4 linked regions of the Bombyx mori genome follow. The protein of the gene in region 4 interacts with the protein of the main gene of each other region in a pairwise test. Links are inferred from orthologs where the notes say so. Each region holds a gene or a part of one and is shown on either strand. Other genes may lie near its edges. The genes, in order: kinesin-like protein KIF23, protein ECT2, anillin and rac GTPase-activating protein 1.

Region 1 (5,545 bases), on a different chromosome or scaffold from region 4:
AGTAGTTGTTGGCAGTCAGGTGGTACAAAGTGCGGCACGTGAAACACTCCTCGTTTCACCTTGAATCAAATAAGGATGTATATTAAATTATACCATAGATTTTCATACATAACTATTTATTTGTTAGTTAAGAAAATTATTCTTTTTTTTCATATAAAATTTCAATTCCAATGCTTCGGGTCAGTTGATTAAATTTAAACTTGTTATTCTATTGATTTTGTACTAATGATGTTAACTTTGTTATATTTTGCATTTCCTTGGAAAATTATTTTCACCTTTACCTAACATGCTATAACAGATCTGCAATTCTTTAACTGGATTCGTGTTACCGGTGTAAGTACTCTTTAATTACGTGGAATCGTTCGCCGATTCATACCGAGAACCCTTTACCTTTTCAAGTAATTGACGTAAATTATCATCGTCAAAAGGCAGCGCACCGACGAGAAGTGCGTACAAGATGACACCGCACGACCAGACGTCCGCCCTCCGACCATCGTATTTCTCACCCTGAAATGAATTTCATCCATTTCGTGAGCAACAGTTTTCATTTCTAAACGATGCATTGTTTGTTTACATACATTTTCATAATTTGTTTTGTTTACGAACTTTGACAGCGGAAACGTTCCATTCTCTGTTATAATAAACTTCAAACTGGGCAGTTTTTTATTAATTAATTTGGAATTGATTTAGAAGTACACTTAAAGAAAGTTTTTTTAAGTTCCAACATATTGTTAAAAAAATAATGATGTAAGTGTTGTAGGCAATAATTCTATAATAGCAATGCTTATGAACGGATTGATTTAATATTACGTAGAACGAAAATATTTTTATTCCTATAATTATGTTGGCAGAACTGCCAATCATGGTGACCACTCAAGAATAATATGAAAAGTCCCTGAAATTTGGGAATTCTCAAAATAAAGTAAAAAAAAAACTGCAAAACAGAATAAGGGTGAGTGTTCCGTTAAATGTGGGAAAGTAGTGAAGCAATACAACTGCAGATAGATAGAGTAGCAATACGGTTATTAAAAATAATGTGTTAGCGGCAAACACACAGGCGTGTATATACTTAGCTTTTAATATTGACATAGTGTAAAGGATAAAGTACTCAATGTATTCACATCGAGCTATCTTACTATGTCAGTGTACAAATCTTAGAGACGGGTACCGATTTTTTAAGCGAAATACGTACTCAGCTCATGCCTACGAATGGATTTCACGTTGAAGGAAAACATTATGCAATAAAAATTAAGCCTGCAACAGTAATAATTTACAGAATTTCTGGTATTAGGATCTCTCGTAACCCAGAGTGGTTACACCCAACAACCAGCATATTTCTGACACGTAGAAGTAATGCGTTTCGGTTTTATTGGTTAGCTGCTTTATATCGCAATCGAGACCTAGATCGAACATTTCAAGGTCAGTGGCCATATTTACATTTTGATATTTATGGTTTCCCTCCAGTAAATCTTTACTAGCTGGGCTCTAAGCTCATTCAATCGTCTATGCAAAATAAAACGACGTTTTAGTTCAAATAAATCTAGCAGACCAGGCCTAGTGAAACTGGTTCACATGTTCACATCCTTAGAGAAAAATTCAACTGCAGACTTTTTGTTCGAGTTTGAATATGTAAGTAATGGCAGACAACACTTGTCACATGTGAAGTAACAGTTTTCGAATGTTGGAATGCTTATTTAAATATTTAAAACAGATGATTGTCTTCTCTTCAGTCATGACGAAGACTTATGTCTAGACACGGACAGTGCAACATCTTAGGGCTTTATAAAAATAAAATACATATTGCAATGGGGTAATACTGTACAAAATGTTTGTAATATATTTAACCATGAAGCAGTGTTTTTAAATAGCCCCTCACCTACAAAACCCAAACCCCTCAAATTTAACCGTCCAACACTTTTCCATTTATCTAAGTTGCTTCAGGAAAAATCAATCTATTAGCTGGTATCATTAGTAACAAAAATGTCAAAACTTTAAAAAGAAACGGGTAGATATAATCCGACCGAACTCAAATGGTATTTCCGCTAAACGACCTTGGTATCCTTTCGTATAATTTTTACTGCCATTATTAAAAAGTGACAGCAAATAAGTTGATTTTAAATTAGTCAGTTAATATTGATATTTCATGAACGGCCGTTCAGAGACCGTTGCTTTGATTTATTGAAAGTCGTTGAAGCGATATTCAACCGAAATATTTAAATATTATATGTGACGATAAAATATAACAAAAATGAAGTCCGTTAAATCGAAACAGAGATTAAACGAGATGCGAACGCCGGCGCGTAGTAAACAAAATCTCGCTCAGGACCGCGATCCTGTACAAGTCTACTGTAGACTTCGCCCCATGCAAAGAGAAAGTGATGTGTCGTGTATGAAGATTATATCACCAACCACATTACTCCTAACGCCGCCAGCAACGGCGTTAAGCTACAGAAATGAAGGCAGCAAAACCATGAAATACACATTCAAAGAGATTTTCCCGCCGGAAGCGTCACAGCAAGAAGTTTTCGATAAAGTCTCACTGCCGTTAGTCGAAGGCTTGATTAAAGGTAAAAACGGCTTGTTATTCACCTACGGGGTCACGGGCAGCGGGAAAACGTTCACGATGACCGGCGAGCCCCAGAACTGCGGGATATTACCACGATGTTTGAATATTATTTTCAAAACTATTAACGATTTCCAAGCTCACAAATATGTGTTCAAACCGGACAAAATGAACATGTTCGATATTCAAAACGAAGCGGAGGCCATGCTAGAGAGGCAACAGGAACTTCACAAATTTAAAACTGGGAAGAAAAATAATTCGAATCCGGATTTAGCTATGGCATCCACGGATATAACTAAAGTAGAAGGTATCAATGAAGACAATCAGTACGCTGTGTTCGTTACATATGTAGAAATCTACAATAACAGTGTTTTTGACTTGTTAGAAGATGGTCCTCCGATTAGTAGGAACCTTCCAGTGAAGATAATAAGAGAAGATGCAGCCCATAATATGTATGTCCACGGGGTTACTGAAATCGAGATTAAGTCAGCTGAGGATGCCTTTGATGCTTTCTATTTAGGTTTGAAACGGAAACGAATGGCTCACACGACTCTGAACGCAGAATCAAGCCGAAGTCACTCAGTGTTCACAATACGATTAGTGCAGGCACCAGTTGACGAGATGGGAGAAGCTGTGATACAAAATAAAAAGTTCTTGAATATTAGTCAACTGAGTCTTGTTGATTTAGCTGGTAGCGAAAGAACTAACCGAACCAAAAACACAGGACAAAGACTAAGAGAAGCCGGGAATATTAATAAGTCATTGATGACTCTTAGAACCTGCTTAGAAGCGTTGAGAGAAAATCAAATTAACAGTGCTAATAACATGGTGCCCTATAGAGAGTCTAAAATTACTCATCTCTTCAAAAATTTCTTTGAAGGTGAAGGACAAGTAAGGATGATAGTCTGTGCAAATCCAAGAGCTGAAGATTATGATGAAACCCTCCAAGTGATGAGATTTGCTGAGATGGCAGCAGAAGTTGAAGTTGCTAAACCCCAAGTAATAGATGTCGCAACAACAATAGGTTTGATGTCTGGCCGCAGAAAGGCTAATAGACTCTTCACAACAGCTCGTGACAATATGGCGAGACCGGAGGCTAAAGATTTGGACTTAGATCTAGGTTTGGTATACAGCCTCGGGCCAGACTTCCCAAGCTTGGAACTGAATAGCTCTCAAGCTGCCCATATAATTAAGGAACTGATGGCACATTTAGAAATGAGAATCAGTCGCAGAGAAACACTTAAGAGAAGTAAGGCGGTGAAGGATGAAAGACTGAGGTCAGCCCTGTTGGATCTTGAAAAAGAATCATTAGAAGTGAGAAGTGAAAACTCATCATTGAGGGGACAGCTGGCAGCCTCTGAACGCAGGATTCGAGCTTTAGAAGAACGCTTGACAGCCACAGAAAATGCATCTCTCACGCACCAAAGAAAATTGGCAGAAATGACTGAATACACATCATCTTTAAAGAGAGATCTACAGGAAAAAGAATATTTGCTCAACCAGAATAAGTTTGAGAAAGAAAAGCAGAAAAAGATCCTTGAAAGAAAATACAACCACAAGATTGCCGCCGAACAGGAGAAGGCAAAAGAGATAAACACAGAAAAGGAAAGATTAAGAAATGCAGTTGAGGAAAAAGAAAACTGTTTACGTAAAGTCAAAGAAGCGTTAAATGTTGATATGGCAGACAGAGGAGACAACTTTGATTATCCACGCTCCACAACTGAAATTGGTGCTCAGACCAGTCATTTTACACCGGGCTCCACACCGAGAGCTCTACCCGCACACCTCTTGACCCCATTCAGTTCAGCTCCACAATCACGCGACACACCAACATCAAGAAGAGGGGTCGCTGTAGCGAATCCACGCCATAGACGGTCATTGTCAGCTGATGGTCGAGGCTGGGTGGAACACGCACCTAACAAGCTAGTCCCAATGGGCACAGTCATGAAGCCAAGCATGACGAATAGCAAAATCGTTAATAAACTGACAACGGTCAAAGACATTGCCAATTCGAAAACGTCAAAATACTGTCTTATATCGCAAGAGCAAGATACTGATGGTGAATTGGAGACGAAACTGTACAAAGGTGATGTTGTACCCACCTGCGGGGGAGGAGCTCAAGTTATATTCAATGATGTTGAAATGCTAAAACAGTTTTCTCCGACAAGGGAATCGCAGAGATTGTCCAGCAATAGCTGTGCTAGACATTCCGGCAAGAGGAGAGACACCGCTTCTTCACCACCACAAACACCATCAAACACCAGTAAGAAGCAGAGAGTTGATGACGAATGATCTTGGACGTGATCAGGTAAAGTGAAATAAGTGGAAGAATATAAATATGTTTTTGTGGTGCATAGAACTTGTTCGATTTCTTAATATAATTATTAAATTGAGGTTTGGTAGGAATTTTCATTCAAAATCATTGAATATGTAAAAAAGTTAAACTACCTACATTCCTGATTATTATCATGATTGTAATTCTAGTAGAATCTAGAACTTGTGACTTTCAAATTATCTTTTTTATGCTTTCTATTTTCAACTGACTTAAAAGTGGCCAGTGACAGATTCAGTGAATTTTTTTCTTTTCCAAGACATTCTCAATGTTATTTTTGAACATATATACTTAAAATACATTCTGTGATTGTATATTTGCTCATAAAATGTACCATTATATTGTAATACTTACTAACATAATTATTTGATAGCTTATGACATTCCTTGATGTTAGGGTTTTAGTAACATTAAAGCTGTTTACCGTCGTGTTGGCACTGATGGTAGGTCTTTCACTTAATCCCAGGATTCTGAACCAAGACAGATCGAGATGTCACTAAGACATATTTTGCCAATAAAACTTTGAATATTATTACAAAATCATTAACCTTACTTAAAACTTTATTTGCTATACAAATGGTAAACACTGAAATATAAATAATTATGAAATTTCGAAAAGGGCACATATCTGAAAATGTAAAATGTTCAGGA
Region 2 (4,788 bases), on a different chromosome or scaffold from region 4:
GTAGAAAGTGAAAATATTTTTGAATTATAGAATGTTAAGGAGCTATTTAAACCTCTATTTTGAAACATTCTTTATTGGTGCTCCACTTGTATGGCCTTACCGTGATGTTATATAGCCTATTTATTGCCTTCCTCAGTAAATTAGTTATCTAACCCTGAAATATTTTTTCAAATCGCACCAAGAGTTCCTGAGATTAGCGCGTTCAAACAAACAAACTTTTCAGCTTTATAATATTAATTATCAAATTAGTGTGTTGTCATCGGTCGTCGATAAATCTACAAAGTTTGAATGAAATCTGGCCGATTAAAATGGGTCGAAATCGCGTCTAAAGGAGTCAGTTACAAACATACATACAAGTGAAGCTAATATAAAGCGTGTAAAAAAATTTGGTAATGTCAAACATTAATAGAGTTGTTGAATGTTGACAGACGTACCTGATAACGTTAATACACTACATGGGCGGCTCGATCCGTAAGGACATGTCGAGCAAGGTGACGCACCTGATCGCGGCCGCAGCTACGGGCGAGAAGTACAGGTACGCGTCCGGGTTCGGCCTGCCCGTGCTCGCGCGCTCCTGGGTCGACGCGTGCTGGGAACGGCGAGACGACCCCGCCTGTCTCGCGACCGACGATGTCATAATTGTAAGTATACTCACTCTTGAGACATACCGGTGGTTTTTTTTTAAAGGAATTTTATGACCTGGAAACTAAGACCTTCAAGTCATGTCTTATTTTTACTTAATTTAACTTTTATGATGTGTTTAGGGCGACGTCGACTGTTTACCATTCGGTCCACCGGATCGGCTATAAATAATTACTAGTGGCCGACTGGTAGTCGAAATTCGACTAAAATTAATTTAATTATAAGTTTGAACATTATAAAGGATCTATTGTGAAAGAAAATCATACGACGTCTATAATAACAAATTTCGCCAAGGCTACACTATAGATAAATAATATTGAAGACAAACAATATTAACCTATTCTGAATTTGACCACAGACTTTAACAATAAACAAAAGAGTATATAGTATGGGTGTGTGTGTGTGTGTGTGTCAAATACATGGTTACTTTATACATAACTCTATATTCTCTATAAGTGTGGGAAATTTCATAGTCCTCTGTCCACACAATTTTCGTAAAAAGGGGTACACAGTTTTTTCTTCACGTATGAATATTTAGATATCTTGTGAATTTTTTTTACTATAGTCCGCAGCTTACGACGAACTCAACTGTAGGTACAGATTGTAGCATAGGTAGGTAAAGTAGATTGGTAGGTGGACTCATAGAACGCTGCTGCCCATTATCCAGTGAATCCCTTACTTGCCTTTCACGACATCCAAGAGAAGAGATGCGGTGGTGCTATTCTAGAGGGAGACACATACAACAAAAAATTAGTGTCTTTGAAATCACAGAACAGTTGTCGTTAAAGGAAACCTTATATACAAATATTCGAAATTATAATGTCTGCTTCCTTGTTGACATCATCATTCATGGTCGTTTTAAATCTTGTTTAATGATCATATTATTTGAATATGACCTAATAAAGTCTATTTAAAATCTATTCTGTACGAGAAGGGTATTTTCTAGAAAATATTGTAGTTCTATAGTCATATGTATGTTTATTTATTTATTTTTTATTGCCTTTGTAGGCAGACGAGCATACGGCCCACCTGATGGTAAGTGGTCATCGTCGCTCATGGACATCAGCAACGCCAGGGGCGGAGCCAAGCCGCTGCCTACCATAATATATATGTTAATAATTTTGAGATTAACGTTGTGTTACAGAAAGAACATAAATTGAAAGTTTTCGCCGGAGCGAGGGTGTGCTTCGTCGGCTTCCCGGAGGATGAGACCCAACACATGGGCGAGGTGCTCGCCAGCAACGGAGGCGCCGTCTGTCCACTCGACGATCCGGACTGTACGCACGTCGTAAGTAACATTTATTCATAATTATTTAATAATGTGATCAAATCCTCAAAGAATAGTTCCAATTGGTTAAGGGCATTGAATTTATTCAAGAATAAAATACAAGAACATACAAAACACAAATAAATTTGTTTTGTTTTTAATAAATTAATATATTGTCTCAACTGTTTTATATTCTGTCAGAGAGGCAGGCAATATTTGATAGAGAATGCTTGTCTGATTATTGAATAAAAAGCACTAAATTTCGTAACGGCAGCTCTCATTGTTAAATCTCAGATATTAGAAGCATAAAGTCGGATTTTCATAGTACCAATCTGTAATAGAACATTTCATTTTGTAATTGGCATAAATGTTTTTTTTTAGTTTATAACTATGAGAAAAAAATTTATGATTTGTTTTCTTAATTATGATCCAAAGATTGTCATACAAAACTAAGAAATAAAAAAATTAGACCCAAATCTGTATAGAAATAATTTTTACTAAAAAGTAGTTCCGATTTTATGGTTCTAATTTTGAGAAATATTGCTCTATAATAGTTACATAGATAATATATATTATTAATATTCACACATATAATATTATTCTAAATGACATTTAAGCACTTCAGTGTTATATGACACTGATCTTAAATCTCTGATGTATAAATCTATATGACCCACAAATGTAATTTTTATTTATTAAATTTTATTCAACTCTGTAGCATATGCATATGTATATAAACTTTTGGATGCATTGCGTATCTGTTTATTTATAAAATTCTCACAGTTTATTTTTAGTTTATTTTGCACATTAGTCATCAAGCTTAGCGTTGTGAAATCAGCATGTAGTATGCACGTATTACCCTCGGGAACACCAGCTATTATATTATTTACACTGCATTAGTTGTCATCTAGATATTCAGTAATGTACTCAGATATATTTTTAAATTCATTAACTATTTTGATAGTGGAGCTCTATTTAGCAACATTGTCAATGTCAGCCGTTGTTTGTGTAACACATTGAACGGCTAAGTAGTATTGCAAACACACATTATCAGCTGCTTTACGACTCAATGTCGGTAGTTGTAGTTTCATAATCAAACGACAGATAGTTATGCTAATGTTTAACTCAGATAGATACCACTGTCCCACATTCTGGTATTTGAGTGTAAGGCCATTCATACTTTCATGTGTTATTTACCTATTGTGGATACTTTTAGTTCTGTAACAGCTTAAGAGTCGCTTAGCGAGCACTAGAATTGCATCCCTCTCTTTCCTCACCGCACGACGTAAAGTCGACCCATTGTTTTTTTAAACATTATCTATAGAATGTATACTTAAAAAAAAATATAACAGGTTTTAATGACCGTACTCTGTAATTTGCGCACTTACATACACAGAACACATTTCATTTGCTGATGTGAATACTGCGCTATAATCACTGTTTGGTCGACTCAGTATTGTGCTTTCACTGTTTGCTGTCAATATTTTATTATTAGCGAACCTACAGTAGTGCAGTAGAATTATTTAATATATATAATTTTTTTATGTAAAATTAATTAATATTGACAACTCAATTCATTATTTTGGTCGAGATAAAATAATTCTTGACCAATTACATTAACATAGAACAGACACCAGCTTCTTTATGTTCTAACTATTTAATCACGTTGATAATCGTGATGCATGTTTGTATCGGAATGGCTTCATTACATCATTGCGTGGTGTGTTCACACATGTTTCAGGTTATGGCCAATGGGGAGACTTTCGGTCGTTCGCTTATCCTATCGCCTCACCAGACCACTCCGAGCTCCTCTTCTAAACCATCCCGATCGACTCCCAATCGTTCTCAGTCCACTCCAAAGACTTCGTTATACCGTAGACTATCGGCACGGCTGTCAGGATGCCGCGCTAGTCCTGTCAAACATGCAGCCGATACTAGCCATGAAGTTCTCCACGATGAAAAGGACAAACGCATACAGCGAGCTTTAAGTGAAATTCGAGAAAAACAATACACATCCAAAGATAAATTAGCTGATAGTTTAGTAGGGAAATCGTATACAGACGATTTTTATTCTTATAAAGAAGAAAAAAATAGTTCACACGGTGAACGTATAGAGTACCGAAAACATAGTAACGGCGGCAAAGAAAATAAAGATTCCCAAACGAGCCACGGATCTTTGAAATGTAACGTAAAAGATAAACGAGAAGTATTTCGTAACAAATCTATGAATGTATTTAATCTAGTCGATTGTTTCAACGAAGTTGGCTCTCTCCATTCTTCTCTCACTAAGAGCTTATGTGATCTTGATCCTAAAGGTGAATTCTTGTTGCCGACCCCCACTCGAAATAAAGAATTGCAACAATCTACGACCACTATTTCATCTGGTAAAAAAAGAAGTCGCAATTCGACTGATACAAATTTTCAAGAAAGCACCGTCGATGTGAATTTATCTCCTGATAAATGTGATGAGAATAATTGTAAATCCATAAAAAGGTTGAAAATTAAAGATTCCTTCAAATTTAAAACTAAACCAACGATTTTCAAAAAATCTAAAAGAGAATCTCTCACCAAACCCACAGGCGACATAATAGTGGAGCCAGTAAGTCCAGAAAACGTTAAACCAACAGATCCAGCTGGGGAATTCATCGCTTCTACCTCTTCTCCCATCAGATCGGAAGACGATAACGCATCTATATGCTCTATGAATACGATTAAACAATCGGGCTTTTTTGATATATCGTTCGCATCGTTAAGAAGTTCTAAAACAGCAAAGTCTGCTTCTAAATTAAGACGAAGCGTCAAATCATTTACCGCGTCGTTTAGAAGTGAACGTAAAAAGAAATACGAGAAGAGAGCCGAACGCAATACAGTCGAAGTGG
Region 3 (4,788 bases), on a different chromosome or scaffold from region 4:
AATGCGCCACCCACCTTGAGATATAAGTTCTAAGATCTCAAGTATAGTTACAACGGCTGCCCCATCCTTCAAACCGAAACGCATTACTGCTTTACGGCAGAAATAGGCGGGGCGGTGGTACCTACTCGTACGGATTCACAAGAGGTCCTACCACCAGTAATGATTGTCGATATGTAACTGCGCGTATGTTGCAGCGCACCGTCGGCAGGCGTGTCTGCACGAGATGCAGCGGCTGCAGGTGGAGGGCGCGGGCCCGGCCGCCGCCGCGGGGCTGGCCTCGCTCTCCGTCGCGGCGCTCAACGTGCCGCTGCGCCGGGACTACGTGCGCCAGCTCAACGCCGGTCCGTACTGTGTGCGGTCTTGTAGCCGACTCTTTTATTTATCTAAATTTATTTTTATTTATTTATTTATTTATTACAAAAACATACAATTTTAATCATAATAACAAATATTGAAACGATGTTATCTGCTGTAGTCATAGACTGTGTTGCAGATAACAACGCCAACCCCTACACACAACGAACAATAACATATAAATTTAAATTTAAATTTAAATTTAAATATATATAATTTTTTTAAATAATATAATTTAAATATATATTATATTTAAATATAAATATATAAAAAAAATGGTACTTTTGGTACATTCCCGATCCTGTGGACAAAATGGAAAGCAGTCGACGTCGCCTCAAACACGTCATTTCGGATCCTCCAGATCCACTAACGTGCTTCTAAGTACCTCAAGCACCAGTCATCGTTCTTGTCGAACCCGTCGCTTGCGACGAAGGGCTGGATGAGTAAATTAACCCTCAGACACAGCCCACTGAGTTTCTCGCCGGATCTTCTCAGTGGGTCACGTTTCCGATCCGGTGGTAGATTCTGCACTGGTAGCACTGCTCTTGCTAGGGTTCGTGTTAGCAACGTCGTCAGGTTCGAGCCCAGTGAGCTCGCCTACTAGTTAAGGTTACGCTGAAATAGCCTCAAGGCTATCAGCTTAGGTAGGAAAAAAAAAAGTTTGATAGCTAAACAAAACGCAGCACGATTCTCGAGAGATGGCAGCACGATCGTGGTAACGTAACTCTGCTAACTTCGTGCTACGACAGAGCCTAGCCGATGGAGGCGCGTAGACATACAGAAATAAAGTATTTGACAATAGAACCGTAATAATGTTCAAACTTATAATTTAAATCAATAATTATAGCCGAGTTTCGACTACTGGGCGGCTACTAGTCTAAATAGAAACAAAAAAATACGCAATTTATTAGAGGTAAATTAATGTTGATACTTTTGGCATGCGTAATGCGCAAAGTGCACGAGGGGGTCCGATTTATAACAAAAAAAAAAAGTTTATAACTGTTTGTTCCCTAAACTACTTAAATTTTAATACCTAAAGTAATTGGTATGTGAAAATCTTGGTTAATAAGATTGATGAAACCTTTCAGAAGAAAATTTTTTGATCTATTCATGATTAAAATGAAACGTTACAGATGGCGCCGTCGGGCATCACGCCGTGTGTCTGCTGAAATGTCGGGACAGAGTTCTGGCGACCAGCATGCAGCAAACTAAACCAACAAACAACACTATACATTTCCCCGATGAAATCAAAATGCTCGGACTCTCTAGCGATTTTAAGGTAAGTGATTTAATAGTAGCCGGTGGATGCTGGAAACTCATTGGGGAGCTTATACATACTTATTGCGTAACGGTTAACAAGCTCACGACCTAATTGATCAAAAGTGTGTAAGATGACCTCATGTATCGGTTTGGATAATGGATTTTGTATACTGTGAAGACCAGATAAACTTCATTAGTGTTCAAATCTAAGTCAATAAAATTCGTACTAATCCTATATTGCAGGAAATCGAAGAACTTAGCTATTATATTTATTTTTGCAGGTGACAGTGGAAGTTTATTTATTGCAAGCATCCAAAGAAATGTTGCCACACGATGTCAAATATCATATTTTCAACAAAAAGGTAAATTAACTTGGCCTAACTTGAAACGTTTCATACGTGTCAGCTTTAGTTGAATATTGATTTTAAACCCACTGAGTTTCTCGCCGGATCTTCTCAGTGGGTCGCGTTTCGGATCCGGTGGTAGATTCTGCGAAGCACGGCTCTTGCTGGGGTCAGTGTTAGCAACACTCCGGTTTGAGCCCCGTGAGCTCACCTACACGTTAGGGCGAAGCTGATATAGCCTCTCAAGGCTATCAGCATAGGTAGGGAAAAATATATATTGAGAGGTGTCAAGGGACACCCGGATGAAACGAAGTTCCTTTCGATTAATTACTGAAGGAATTGTAATCTTTTCTTTAAGTTATAATAAAAATCTGTATACAACAAAAATAATCATCGCGACACCACTCTGTTCAGTGCGAAATAGAAAGACGAAACGAAAATAGCTGGCTTGCTTTCTATTAGAGAGAGAGAGACAGACAGACAGACAGAGAAACACGCGCACGCCGCACGGCTTACAACTATAGCAAAGTGTCGTTACAACTTTTTGCTTTAATTTTTTCCGTCTGGAGCCCCCTTTCGCAACGCGCGATAAGGAATTTCGTTCCAATTATTATTTTAGTTGAATATTGAGTTGATTTGTTGGTTTCCAGTCGAGTTCAAAGCTCTTAACGCCGAAGTCGAAAGTGTCGGAGCTGAAAGCGCCCCGCGTGCAGAGTCCGGGCGGGCCGCACACTGTCCGCACGCCGCAGTTCCAGCTGCACGGCTACTGCATCTTTGCGCTGCAGCAGGCCTCCAGGACCAGCTTCACTTTGAATAAGGTCACTTATAATAATAATCATAAATATTCTGAGATTATATTTAATCCCATATCATCTCATCTCATTTCATTTAAATTCATCCCAGTTGATTAATGTCTCAAATTAATAATCTTCATTTCATTTCACTCCATAATATCATTTTTCATAAAAATATAAATATAAATTAAAATAAGACATGACTTAAAGGTCTTAGTTACCATAAATATCATAAAATCCCTTAAAAAAAAAAATTAATATTTACTAACAATCACGCCATGTTAACTGGTCCCGTGATAAGTTCGTAAAGTGCTTGTGTTACAGGTACCAGATAACGAAAATAAATCTAAGATTTTGATTCGACACATACATATATTTAGTATACATCCATAACCCTGGAAAAGATATTTATATTTATCATACAAATATCCTCCCTTGTCGGGATTCGAACCCGCGACCCCCTTGTCTGCCTACAAAGGCAATAAAATAAAATAAATATATTTTGAATCAATTACCTTAAGACAGTAAGTGTTGACTGGTACTACAAATCGTCACGTAATTATAAAGCGTACCTGATATGCGACTCTCCTCTCTTTTTTAAAATGAATCCTTTTTTTTAAATAATAAATAAATAAAAATGAACCAGTCAGTCAAACCAGTAATGGATTTTAAACTTTAACATCATTCTTTCTCCAAAAAATAATGTACTGCGAATATTAGATTTAACTCGGCTGGCTATTATACTATATACACACATTATGATATCACAGATTAGTCTCAACCCGCTGAGTTTCTCGCCGGATCTTCTCAGCGGGTCGCGATTCCGATCCGGTGGTAGATTCATTCGTGAAGCTGCTCTTGAGTTGTTAGGTCAGCTGTTACGTATCCTTTGAAGGCGCACGGGTAGCTGTTAACAAATCCCACCCCTCTTGACTGAGCATTTGCTCGCCCACCTGCCCTGGTAAAACTCGAAAGGCCTCCGGGCCACCAGTAACCTCTCGAACATTAAAAAAAACATTGTTCTGTCGGACAACTTAAAAAGGTAAAATTTTATACAATCAAAACCGTTTACTGCGACATCATTTAATACAACATGCCGGTTATAATAACCAAGAACAAAGGTCCCGGCTGAATGCCATATGACCGCCTTATTAAAAATATTGCTTTCTACGACATTGGTAATAACGACATACCTCATAAAACGACCACATTTAACTAATATTTCGGACAATTAGATCTGTTAGAACGACCAGCTAAGTTGTATTGTAAACAATTTGAATAGGTATCCACATTTGTCTTCAATGGCTTTTAAAATCGGGAAAGAAAACAATAGGATTTAGTTTAGTGTAGGGTCTTTTCTAATTCTTAGAAACAAAACACGTGCATGCGGTAGTCATAGCCCGCTTCTTCATATCTCTTCAGTTAGTTTGTTACTTATTTATACACAAGACGCACCAAAACTTTGTGGAGTTATTCGTGAAGCTTTCAAAATGTCGCAAAGAAAAAGAAAACAAATTAATATTGAAGAAAAATCGCGTATTATGTAAATATATTTTTCCAATAATTCCCTATCGATTTGTTTGTACTTGCACGATACACATTAAACATCACCGGTTGTTACGACTATCGGTTTTTACGACTGAATATGAACAGTCCCTTCGATGTCGTTATAACAGATTTTGACTGTATTTCATAATTGAATGATAATATTGTGCTTAATATCTTGCGTGCGGTCCCAGGTCCCTATGGGCAGTCCGCTGGAGGGCTCGGTGTGCGTGGAGGTGCGCGCGCGCGTGGCCGTGCCGCCCCCCGCGCCGCACGCCGCCTTCCTCACCGCCTTCGATGACGTCAGCGGGCTGGGCGCCTGGCACCGCCGCTGGTTCCGCCTGCAGACGCCCCGCCTGGCCTACTGGAAGTACCCTGACGATGTCCACAAGAAGGTATCACCTACTGTCACCTCAACACCTAGACAAGCTTTTTCGTTAAATTTAGACCAGTAGATAACATGATCCAGTCCCATGGTAGATCACAATAGG
Region 4 (4,788 bases):
AGTACGGGTGGCAACCCTACTAGCGATTCACAGGGTTCTTACCTAAAACAAGGATATTTAGGCGAGAACGTATTTGATAGAGTCATGAGACACTACTATATGTTCGAGTTAGTAACGGCCGCAAACAAAATTATACAAAGATAAAAAAGAAGAAAAAAAAATACATGAAAACGCATAGTTTGTCTAAGACGTTGAATACGACTAGTCCTCCGAAACAATACATATTTGTAACACACACACACACACACGCACGCAACAAATCTATCTCTAGAATCTCATGGTTATAACTTTTTTTAATTGAGTTACCTGAAATTTTAACATGTTTTTATTGACTTGAACCTGTATCCAGATAACGAAACATTTCAAGGTAAATCACATTCATTTCAAAATAGCTGCTTTACTTCAACGGCGGATCCAGGGGGGGGGGGGTCGTGGGGGTCATGACCCCCCCCTGAGCTAGTTCCAGTACTTGAACTAACTTGGACTAATTGAAGAACATCATGATTTACTTATTATCTATTGTTATCAAAATTAAATAATAAGTTCTTAACTTGCCCACGACTATGTGACCCCCTCCTGGCGCCAAAGCTGGATCCACCCTTGCTTTACTTAAAGTATGCCCAAGTACTGTTGCCAATACAATAATTTTATTACTTTTTTTGGTGTGTTGAATTGGGTTACGACCATTTACAAAAAAATTAAAAACAATTTTACAATCACCCCACCAAACTTAGATGGTATCTAGACACAATGTGTTCTAGGATTACAACTACTTTCCTTTCACAGGTTTATAAGGGTGACCAAGCTCACAGTCCCATTTGTTGTTAAGTCGTTCCCGGAGCTCAGACACGACTGCCGCCACCCTCCCAGAGACACGAGGTCATAGTTTTAATTCTACAGTACACGCGAGCAGAATTAGCAGGGTTATTATATATTAAAAAAAAATATATTTACTAGTTAAGTACATAAAGTATGTAAACTATTGTTTAGTAATACATTTGGAAGAAAAACTAAATACTAATGACAAATTAGCTAGCTTAAGATATAATTGAATATGCAATTTCGAAAAGGGCACATCTCTGAAAATGTAAAATATTCAGGAAATAGAAAAAAAACTGATTATTTTCTAAAGCAGTGTAAAATTTAAAATATTAACTTTTGAGATATATTTAAGTGTTAATTAGCAATTGAAAATTACTGGAATTATTATAAAATGGGTGTAGGTAAGCCTCAAAACTACATGTATATGAAAAAACGCATTTGACAAAATATGCGACATGTGCCCTTTTCGAAATTGCATATTCAATTAATCTGATCATATCTTCACACCGCGGCACGCCGAGCTCGAATGCGTCAGAGTTTTTTAACGTTCTCGATAGCGTAAAAGTTAACTCAAATTTGTATGGAGTTAGAACAGCGCCCCTAGCGGCAAACGTAGGCAAACGTTTCAACTCCATACAAACTTGAGTTAACTTTTACGCTATCGAGAACGTTAAAAAACTCACAACTAAGCACACTGATGTTCGTACGTACAGTTTCACAGAACACAATTCAGTTGTGTAACTACGTCAATTATATCACATGTTCTGTCTCGTGTCTGCTCATAGTGGCAATTGAACAAACACTTCTGTACTAAAGTGATCATAAAACAACTACTACGTTAACGGAAGTTCGTTTGAGAAAGCTCTACATTGCGCTCCGACTTCACTCAGCACTCGAAATCGGCGCAGACTGCAGTAAAGCTCTTGAAAAAACTTACAATGCTACTGTTATCGTAAAGGTCATGATAACTAAACTTAATTCTAAACGACATTAACTAAGTATGTTCGAACAAATAGACGGTTATTACATTGGCGACTATTTCTACGGTTTACAATATTAAATAAAAATGATTGTCAGATGTTTCTCAAGATCCACAGCGTTTTAATTTAATTATTTAAATTGTCGGGTAGTTTACAATAATTATTAAATTATCACACATTTCCAAAACAAAGGTTTATGCAAAAGCCAATAAAGTGTCTCTCTTTTACTTGTTATTACTTTTCAAAGATTAATTTTTTTTTTTCAGTAATTGATTAATTTTAACACATAAAAAGTTGTATTTGTTTTAATAACAAAAAAAAATGTGCGAGCAAAAATAATGATAATGATAAGTACCTTACTGCTAAGTATATTTAACACTAAACATACCATAACGGGTCAAATTACCCATTTTAGACTTTAGCATTGAATATGCACGTATCATCTTATTGCTTTTGCACATTTGACTTCATGACTATTTCTTACCAATTAATCTACAATTATTATACTATTTTGTTTTGTTTTTTTAAAGGAATAGTTGTTGTATACCTTTATTTACCCGCTATGGTAGAAATAGGCATCAGTAAGTGTTGGTATGATTAGTGTTAAATGTGGATCGAGCTAACTCCGTACATCACCAAGTAAATTCAATTCAAAGTATTACAAAAGTCAAAACTACATATTAAATTATTAGTTAATTACACAAGTTTTAAATTATGAAAAAGAAGAAAATGAAAACAAACATACTTAAATGGATTGGTTAACATAAGCGTTGGCGCGCCGCCCGCTCCTCACTGGAAATAGTTGCGCTTCTTCCTCGACACACTGCGAGTACAAATTATCTATATATTAATATACGTGAAACAAAAACATTGTATCCCTTTTTACGAAAATTGCGCGAACGGAGTATGTATGAAATTTCCCACACTTATAGAGAATATAGAGAAGGAGTGCAGAATGTTGATAAATTTTTTTAAATTATGTATAACAAATACATTAAATCAATAATAAAAACATTACACACACACTACCATGTATTTGACAGACATACGCATGCATACAATATGTTTATTGTCAAACTTTTTTTTAAAGTAATAAATATAAGTAATAGTCTGTGGTCAAATTGAGAAAAGATTAAATATTGGACTTTTTGGCGGGAACGCGAGGAGTGAAGTTGTATGATTTGTTTTACCATTCACTCATGCCTATAGCTCTCAGTTATAGATTGGATCACAATTCTGTGGTGAGTTTGTGTATGAACTTGCCCCGTGTCGGCCGGCGAAAAGAAGAAGGCCCGGGGCCGCGGCGAGCCCGCGCCGTCCGCCGGGCACGCCCACTGCGCCCAGTACTCGCTCGGCAGCGACAGCATTATCTGCATCACCTGCCGTAGATAATACATATAAATCAGTTATAGATAAGCAACTCAAGCGCTCGACAAAAATGTTTACGGGCGTCGGCCACTAGATGGCTTCGCTTCGATAAGTTTCTCATTGTTCCTGTAGATGGTAGTAACATATTATCTAGCGATGCAACGATGTTCCAATACCACAGGCGGGTACCAATTTTTCTAATGAAATACGTACTTATCAAATGTTCGCAATTGACTTGCATGGTGAAGGAATAACATCGTGTAATAATAATCAAACCCGCAAAATTATAATTTGCGTAATTAATGGTGGTAGGACCTCTTGTGAGCCACTACCCCGCCTATTTCTGCCGGGAAGCAGTAATGCGTTTCGGTTTGAAGTGTGGGGCAGCTGTTGTAATTATACTGAGACCTTAGAACGCATATCTCAAGGTGGGTGGCGGCATTTACGTTATAGATGTCCATGGGCTCCAGTAACCACTTAATAAAAGGTGGGCTGTGAGCTCTTCCAAATATCTAAGAAATAAAAAAGACACTTCTTAAAACGCTCTCTGTAGCACATACAAAACGCAAATAAGAGGTTAAGTAAATTTCATTTCCATTTTACCTTGAACATCTGCGCTGTGGCGGCGTACATCTCCGCGGCTTGCGACATCATGCCGTACCCGACGACGGTCGGACCAAATATTTTAGCCAGATTGTCTATGCCCATCTCGCATTCGGGGCTCTCTGCCACTCTGTACCAAGTCATAAATTGTTATTAGTGTAAGGTCTGTAATCTAAATATTAAAAAAAAAGATTTGATGGCTTAAAGGTCTCGTTACCAGGTCGAAGTTCAAAATTTTTAAAATATTTGTTTTGATCAAATTTTGATTAAAAAAATTAAGAAAATTTTAAATATGAGAGATATAAGAAAAAATGGATGGATTGCGTGAAAGACTATATGTGTAAGAGGGGAATGAGCGAAGAAATGGCATATGATAGAGGAGTATGGAAAGAGAAAACATGTTGGTAGGACCACTTGTGAATCCGCACTGGTAGGTACCGCCCCTCTGCCTATTTCAGCCGTCAAGCAGTAATGAGTTTCGGTTTGAAGAGTGGGACAGCCGTTGTAACTATACTGAAGGTATCAGTACAACTTATATCTCAAGTTGGGTGGCGCATTTACGTTGTAGATGTCTATGGGCTCCGGTAACCACTTAACACCAGGTTGCGACGACCCCAGGTGAGTAGGAGAGGGGCTCGTGAGCGTGAGTGAGCGTGAGTACTTCTGCAGATGCAGCACGAGGAAGGCGAGCGTGTCGCGGTTGGGCGGCGGCAGCTGCGTGACGGCGTGCAGCAGCGCGGCGGCGGCGTCGGCGCGGTCGGGCAGCGCGGCGGCCTGCATGAAGTCGGCCCACAGCGCCGCGCTCACCAGCGGCTCGCGCAGTCCGCGCAGGAAGTCCTTCACGCAGCCGCACACCGCGTGCACGTCCTCGCCCGCCAGCCACGGCGACCCGTGCCCGCGCAGGAACCGCTCCTGCGCATTCACACGCATCTACTGTGTTAAAATGCATGCACGACAAATAACTTTCAAAGGGAGTTATGTGAATTTTAATTTCGTTGTACTCAGAAAAAAAACC

The links.
Region 1: the proteins of rac GTPase-activating protein 1 (region 4) and kinesin-like protein KIF23 interact in a two-hybrid assay, tested with the Drosophila melanogaster proteins (3 studies listed by BioGRID). The link is inferred for Bombyx mori from reciprocal best matches to the Drosophila melanogaster genes tum and pav.
Region 2: the proteins of rac GTPase-activating protein 1 (region 4) and protein ECT2 interact in a two-hybrid assay, tested with the Drosophila melanogaster proteins (2 studies listed by BioGRID). The link is inferred for Bombyx mori from reciprocal best matches to the Drosophila melanogaster genes tum and pbl.
Region 3: the proteins of rac GTPase-activating protein 1 (region 4) and anillin interact in a two-hybrid assay, tested with the Drosophila melanogaster proteins (2 studies listed by BioGRID). The link is inferred for Bombyx mori from reciprocal best matches to the Drosophila melanogaster genes tum and scra.

Annotation. Positions count from the first base shown.
Region 1 is NC_085129.1:18,298,033-18,303,577, reverse strand, and holds the start of kinesin-like protein KIF23, read left to right. Parts: upstream 1-1,975; 5' UTR 1,976-2,248; coding exon 2,249-4,855; 3' UTR 4,856-5,545. Other genes in the region: serine/threonine-protein kinase BRSK2, read right to left, coding at 1-59, 391-507.
Region 2 is NC_085121.1:10,890,320-10,895,107, reverse strand, and holds part of protein ECT2, read left to right. Parts: intron 1-428; coding exon 429-641; intron 642-1,786; coding exon 1,787-1,930; intron 1,931-3,650; coding exon 3,651-4,788.
Region 3 is NC_085126.1:7,234,774-7,239,561, reverse strand, and holds part of anillin, read left to right. Parts: intron 1-194; coding exon 195-341; intron 342-1,487; coding exon 1,488-1,633; intron 1,634-1,895; coding exon 1,896-1,976; intron 1,977-2,608; coding exon 2,609-2,776; intron 2,777-4,491; coding exon 4,492-4,692; intron 4,693-4,788. UniProt on the Drosophila melanogaster protein: Required for cytokinesis. Essential for the structural integrity of the cleavage furrow and for completion of cleavage furrow ingression and proper formation of the midbody.
Region 4 is NC_085114.1:3,021,929-3,026,716, forward strand, and holds part of rac GTPase-activating protein 1, read right to left. Parts: intron 4,686-4,788; coding exon 4,435-4,685; intron 3,904-4,434; coding exon 3,774-3,903; intron 3,182-3,773; coding exon 3,066-3,181; intron 2,626-3,065; coding exon 2,592-2,625; 3' UTR 1-2,591.